Linked DNA regions of Arabidopsis thaliana. The protein of the gene in region 2 interacts with the protein of the main gene of each other region in a pairwise test. Each region holds a gene or a part of one and is shown on either strand. Other genes may lie near its edges.

Region 1 (3,755 bases), on a different chromosome or scaffold from region 2:
AATTCACATCACATTGTTTTTAAATTCTATCACGTAACTTAAGTTTTTATCTACTTTGAGTTCCAAATTATGACCATTAACTTCATAATTGTTCATTTGAGCAATCTGCAGAACAGAGGTTTTGTATTGAAACAGAGCCCCCAAAAAACAGAACTTGAAGCAGAATTTAAGAGACATCATAAAATTAAATAAATTATGGAGATATGAGAATCAAATTGGAAAAGCTCTCAATCTCACTTTCTCTTCAACTTATAAACATGTCTAAACTCGTATGTGAAGACTTTTAAATTGGTAGTAGAATCAAAACACGTTATCAGCAACTTTCAAAGAACTTGATTTATATTAAAAAAATGGAGGGCCATAGTTGTTGGAATGAGGGTTACAAGTTTACAATATTAAAAAAAAAACATTTAAGAAGAATGATCAAATAAATGATTCATAATTGAAATTTACGTGAATTTAAATGCGAACTTTTTTTTTTTTTTAATTACTACATGAAATTGCATAAAACTTATTCATTAAATTAATTATTGAACCAAAAGATGACACACAAAGAAACTGAACAAAGATGAATAAAAAACTCAATCCCACTTGCTCTTTAACTTATCAACATGCGTAAACTCATATGTCAACACCAAACTCCCATCCATTCTCTTCAATTCGAAGCTCTCTATCAATACCAAACATCGATAACTCTTCCAATGCGATGACCCGCCTTCAAATCTCTCTGATCTCTTAATGTTAGATCTTTCACCGTTGTTTAACCATCCGAACCTTTCCTCTTCCCATTTCATCCTCTCCACGACAACAGACCCAAGACCTATCTTCTTGTCTTGTCTCTCATCCCCTAAAACACTAAACCAAACAAATCCACCACCACTTGTCTCTCTAGAAATAGTTTCTTGTCCCTCAAGCTTTACCACTTGTGTTTCTACGTCAACATCAACTACAACCTCTCCTCCTTTTTGGTTGTAGTTAACGTTTACGCATGAGTAAACCTCTTCCCATCTTTGTTTAAGCGTCATGCTGTAATAAGGTGAGCTCTTAATCTGATCTTTTGCATCTCTTTCTTTCACAAATATGAAAGGAACATACCATTTCCCTACCACAACACTTGTATTCATATCGTTGGGAAGCTTGGAACGAAGCGTAGTGTTGATCCCTTTTGCATCATCTGTCAAACCAAAGTCTTGGGAATTCGAATACTCAACGGTCCAGTACTTTCTCTTAAGGAACTCTGGTGGTATCCCATTAGGAGCAACTGAAGTGGCAGTGTAATAGCCTGATGATGGTTTACGTTGATGGACCTCGAACTGTTGATATATATCATAAGGATCTGCTTCTTGTGGCTTAACTTCAGGAACATAGCTGAAGCAAAAGCAGCAGGGGACTCTGTCTTCTTCCTTTGCACTCGCCGAAGCTCCTCTGCAATCCAAAATTAGTTTTTTTTTAATGAATACCATTTGTGCAAGTCAGGTCAAAAGGGGTGGCCAATCCGGTCAAACCGAAACCATCCCAAGAAAACCAAACCCAAAAGCAAGTATCTCGAACCATGCATGACATAAATTGATTAAAACCTCAAAAAAACAAAACAAAGTCAAGAAAGTAATTAAGATTTTTGGCCATACCCTGATTGCTTCCCACGTCGTTTAATGACATAATAACGGTTCGAATAATAAGGCTGATCAAGAACCGGAATGAACAGAACCTGGTCATGGTAACTGCGCCTGTCATTACCAGTTCCGGTTCTGTAAGTCACAGTCAGCTTTGCGTTCTGTGGGAACGGTAAGCCTTTGAGTTCACCATCGTAGCAATTTCCAAAGCAACAAGTCGGTTTTGACTCTTCGTCTTGAATCACAAGTACGCCGGAGTTTGGACCTTCCGGCAACGATCGTGTCAAGTCCGACGAGTTTCTCTGGTATTCGGAGAGATGCCTTGTAACATACATCTTGAATTCAGAATCTTGATCAGGTTATTGATTAGAAGAGATATGATATGTTTATATATTGCACCATGTATTGAGGATAACGCGGTAAGCAAATTTTACAAGTTATCGTTTGAAGACTTTTCAAATTTTTTTACTTTATGGTTCAATTCAAACTTTAGAATTCCAAAGTTATGACCTTGACCTGGTTTCACAAACCTATCATGGAGAATCAATCAAACAAATTCTATATTTTCTTTATATTATGATTGACCTAACTATAAGGATCTGCTTCTTGTGACTTAGCTTCAGGAAGAAACTGAAGCAAAAGAAACAGGGGACTCTGTCTTACTCTTTGGCACTAGCTAATGCTTTTCTACAAAATAATTACAAAACTTTTGAGGTTTTTTTCCTTTTAGAGTATACACCCTTTTTGTGCAAGTTAGCTTCACCACATAACACATGAACTTGCATTAACCTTTCAATAAAATGAACACACCATAAATTGAACACATAACACACAAAGAAGCTGAAATAAAGTCAATCCCACTTACTCTTCAACTTATCAACATGTCTAAACTCATACGTCAATACCAAACTCCCATCAGTTTTCTTCAGTTCAAAGGTCTCTACCAGTACATAGCATCTATAACTCTTCCATTGTGGTCCACCGCCTTCAAATTTCTCAGTTCTCTTAATGCTAGACTTTAGTTCATTGCCTTTCTTCGACCACCCAAACCTCTCTTCTTCCCATTTCATCCTCTCCAAGACCACAGACCCAATACCTATCTTCTGAGTCTCTGAGACACCAAACCAGACAACTCCATCTGAATTCACACCTTTTGTCTCTCTTCCAATATTTTCTCCTTCAAGCTTAACCACTTCTGTTTCTACCTCCACATCAACTATAACCTCGCAATTTTTATTGTCAACGTTTTCGCAGAAGAAAACCTCTTCAAATCTTTGGTGAAGTGTCATACTATAATACATCGATTTCTTCATCTGATCTTTAGCATCTCCTTCCTTTACAAACAAAAACGGAACATACCATTTTCCAACTACTACACTCTTACCGAAATCGGGAAGCTCATAGCGCAGCTTTGCATCAACTACACCCTTTGCATCATCAATCAAACCATAGTCTTGGGAAGCAGAGAAAGGAACGGTCCAGCCTTTTCTCCTCAGGAACCGAGGTGGTATTCCATCTGAAGCAACAGATGTAGCGAAAAACTTGCGAGTTGATGAGCCTCTTTGATGTATCTCAAATTGTTGGTATATGTCAAAAGGATCAAGAAGCCTTGGCGTAGCATTAGAGACATAAGTAAAACAAAGGCAACAAGAAACTTTGTCCTCTTCTTTTGCACTAACACATGCTTCTCTGCAATACCAATCAAAGTTTTAAAAGATGTGAATTTAGGCCGCTAAACTATTAATCTTGGCTTAATTAAAACTAAAACGATAAACTTTGATATCTACATAACATGAGAAAGATTCAATAGAATCATACCCTGCATGTTTCCCTCTTCGCCTTATAACGTAGTAAAGATTGGAAGAAGGAGGCTGGTGAAGAACGGGGATGAACGCGACCGAGTCAAGCAAGACAATTCTGTCATCTCCATCTATGGTGAAATCAAAGCTTAGATAATAAACAGAGAAGAAACAGAAACAGAGTAAAGTAAAATGATTGACAGAAAGTTAGGAGTGAAATGACTAGTAACTAACGTCCGATTTGGTATTTAACGGTGACTCTTGTGTTCTGAGGAAACGGCAAACCATTGAGATCACAACCAAAGCATTTGCCAAAACAGCATGTAGGCTGTGATTCTTCGTC
Region 2 (3,755 bases):
ATACCCACATATAGAGAATCTATAAATGGACCCCCAAAGATCTTCTAAGCCCACAATTATCATCATATATACATACAACTACAAATCTACAATCATCCTCCTCTTCATTTCAAAATCAATTCCACATCAAGATGTTTTGGTACCCTTAAAATAGACATATGTAGAATAAGTTACCAATCTGTGTATATGTTAACTATATTGGAATCCGACCTCTATGCCCCTAATTAAACCCATATGTATATATATACACACAATACCACAGCCCGTAAACGCTTAACGTGAGAATGGTGGTGGTTGAGGAACAAAAGATTGAATAGGATCATGAAGTGTTTGGCCCTCCTCGCACTCCACTCTTGCCGCTTCACACATCATATTACTTGTTGCTAAGTTGCATCCATCTGTGTGATTACACGAGATCCAAAATTGTGTCAAGATTAGGTCTAGGTCACTTTTGTATAAAAATGATGGTGATGAATGGTTTACTATTAGTTTACGTTTTCATTATTCGAAAATGTGATTTTTACTAAGACGATAACCAAATAAATGAAACTAGTTCTTTAGCGTTTCGTATTGTTCAATAAAATTTCAGTAGCTCAAATTTCATTAGCTATTTACTAGTTCTTCCTCTTAATGCTAAATTTTTCATCAACGTATCAGATTGTTGACAACCAATTTCAACTAGTAAACCAAATAGTAGGAGAAATCACCTTCTTTGAACACAAAACCAGAACCGTTGCATTGTTTCTGAAACGAGAAACTACAAAGTTCAACTTCAATTTTCCCCTGCATCTCTACCAGAAGAGCCCGGAGTCTGATCAATTCAGTTTCCACCATTTCTTGGCTCTGAAGTTTTCTAAGGAATTGCTCATTCAGAGATTGCAATCTCATCACTTCATCTTCAAGGTATGCAGTGCGAGCCTTCTTCTTCTCCCTGTACTTCCTCACTGCCTCTCTATTACCACATAACCGTTTCTTGTTGCTACTGTCAGAATGATCATTCTCTTGCTGATCCTGCTGCAACATAAAAATATGTATCTATAACAATCCATTAAAATATCATCAGAAACATACCATATCTTAAGGGAAGAGATATTATTACAGAGATGATGAGATGAGTGTGAGCGTGGAAGCATGTGTGGGAGTGAGAAGCATCCTCTGGGCCTGGAGGGTTACAGCTATGAGTGTGACTACATCCTCTCGTTACTCGATCTTGATCTTTATCTTCTTCCTCATTCATCTTTATATATCTTTGATTCTGAGGTCCAAACTCAAGATCTCCAAAGAAAACACCTGTTCTGTTTGGGACATAGAATTATGGTGATATTATTAGGGTTTTTGATTAAAGTAAAGATGGTGTTGAAGAATATGTTCTTGATTAACATAGTGGATGAATAAAACAGTAGTCAACTCTTTATAATTTTTTGACATGGCCCAAGAAAGAAAAATCTTACAGAGAATCAAAGTTAGAAACTCGTTGGTTTCCTCTGCAATCCTTGCAACAACAAAACATCCAAGTACAAAGATTGATAGGCTTTTTGGTTTTGAGATTACCTTAAAATGTTTTTTTTTTTGTCTGTACCAAACTTTGAAATGGTTTTATTACTAGAAATTACGACGGAACAATAAGCAAAGCCATTTACCATATCCCCAGACCCCAATGAATAATATATTATAAGAAAGAGAATTGGTTCTTTAATGTCAATTGTCAAATTGTTTCGTATAGAAAAAGAAGAAGACTTTTCTCATGGATTTTAACTTATTGCACGTCTCTATCATTATTTAGTGTTCGCTGGCGGACACGTTTTGTAAACGTGTTTATCATCATCATCTTGCTTCCCGACGAGATTTGAGTTCAAGAAGCAAAAATGGCGAGTTTCATCAAGGCATGGGGTTTAGTGATCATCTCACTGTGTTACACTTTTTTCATTGCCAAATTGGTTCCAAAAGGAATCAAAAGGCTCATACTATTTTTCCCTGTCTTCCTCATTTTCTTCATAGTACCTTTCTTGATATATTCCTTACATTTACTCGGCATCACGGCTTTCTTCATCGCTTGGCTAGCAAATTTCAAGCTCTTATTATTTGCATTAGGGCGCGGTCCTCTCTCTTCAAACCATAAACCCCTATCTCTCCCTATTTTCTTAGCTGTCTCTTGCTTGCCCATCAAGATTCAGCTGAGCCCAAAACCTACAAAAACTCACTCCCATGAAGGATCCACAGAGGGTCCTTTGATTTATACCATAAAGGCAGTTTTTGTGGTTCTCATCATCAAAGCCTACGAATACAGTACCAAATTGCCTGAGAAAGTCGTGCTGACTCTCTACGCGATCCACATATATTTCGCCCTTGAGATCATCCTTGCCGCCACAGCTGCTGCGGTTCGAGCCATGTCGGATCTTGAGCTCGAGCCACAGTTCAACAAGCCGTACCTAGCGACATCACTTCAAGATTTCTGGGGGAGACGATGGAACCTGATGGTCACTGGAATCTTACGGCCAACCGTGTACGAACCGTCACTTCAACTGTTCTCGGTTTTGGGCCCGAACTATTCCCAGATTCTTGCAGCTTTCGGGACGTTTGTTGTCTCTGGGATAATGCACGAGCTCATCTTCTTCTACATGGGACGGTTGAGGCCAGACTGGAAGATGATGTGGTTCTTCCTCATAAATGGATTTTGCACGACCGTGGAGATCGCCATCAAGAAAACCATTAACGGTAGGTGGAGATTCCCGAAAGCAATCAGTCAGGTTTTGACACTCACTTTTGTGATGGTGACGGCATTGTGGCTGTTCTTGCCCGAATTTAATCGGTGCAACATAGTTGAGAAGGCTCTTGATGAGTACGCAGCCATAGGCGCATTTGCAGTCGAGGTCAGGAGGAAACTGACCGCATATCTTTTTTAACCCTGCCGTGTGACAAAGCTTGAGTGATCTCTATTTTAACTTATTTTTTTCTAACACTGTAAAACCGACATTTCTGCAACCCCATCATTTACATGGCACACGAATCAAGAAAATTGTGGAAGTTCATAATACTATACATAAAACCTTGCAAACATGATATGAAAGTAAAGATGAGGGGAAGAAACCCGCTCGAGTAGAGGCAATAACATGCAAAATGGATCAGCAAGATCCGCCTAAGTTACACATCTTAAGTCTATCTAAGGCAGTTAGAATTTGTCTACAACTCCTACAGCTAAAGCTTTTCCCACCAGAAATTAACGCACAGGGAGTTGCTTTCTTACTGATCATGGTGTTCATAAAAGTCCAAGCTTTTGGCGGAAGATCAGTTCCACTTCACCACGAATGCTCTCCACATCTGCAGCATAGTCTCTCTTGTATTCATCCGCCATTGATTCCTCCAGCTGTAGCTTCATTCTCTCTAATGCTTCTTCCAACCCGCAGGACTCTTTGAGAACCTGAGGCTCTATGGATTTAAGTTGAAGAAGAGTTTGGATTGCTGTAAGAGCCTGAAACATATTTTCCGAGTAGCATAAGTTAGAAAGAGATGTGTGCCAAGATTCATAGAGGAAGAAAAACGGTCATAGGCCCCTGTAATAGTTCTACCTTTTCTTGGAGATCAAGATCAAGCACCACAATCAAATCGACAACAGACTTTAGGAAAAGACGATCTTTGAAAATAGGAAGTTCATCTTTCTCTGTGTTCTGTAGTTGAGACTCAGCCAAATCACCGACTAAGAATACAGCTTTCCGTCTCAATTTCATATCCAAGCTCCCATTGTTCATTACATCCTG

Evidence for each region.
Region 1: the proteins of BZIP24 (region 2) and AT1G13520 interact in a two-hybrid assay, tested with the Arabidopsis thaliana proteins (one large-scale study listed by BioGRID).

The regions. Positions count from the first base shown.
Region 1 is NC_003070.9:4,631,276-4,635,030, forward strand, and holds AT1G13520 (hypothetical protein (DUF1262)), read right to left. Parts: upstream 2,025-3,755; 5' UTR 1,949-2,024; coding exon 1,629-1,948; intron 1,426-1,628; coding exon 582-1,425; 3' UTR 358-581; downstream 1-357. Other genes in the region: AT1G13530 (hypothetical protein (DUF1262)), read right to left, coding at 2,465-3,302, 3,432-3,543, 3,647-3,755.
Region 2 is NC_003074.8:19,282,555-19,286,309, forward strand, and holds the start of BZIP24 (basic leucine zipper 24), read right to left. Parts: upstream 1,639-3,755; 5' UTR 1,511-1,638; coding exon 1,452-1,510; exon of another isoform or gene 1,296-1,451; coding exon 1,100-1,295; intron 1,015-1,099; coding exon 708-1,014; intron 399-707; coding exon 274-398; 3' UTR 1-273. Other genes in the region: ASAT1 (acyl-CoA sterol acyl transferase 1), read left to right, coding at 1,866-2,903; AT3G51980 (ARM repeat superfamily protein), read right to left, coding at 3,257-3,469, 3,567-3,752. UniProt on the Arabidopsis thaliana protein: Transcription factor involved in the regulation of salt stress response. Functions as a negative transcriptional regulator of salt stress acclimation response by regulating cation homeostasis.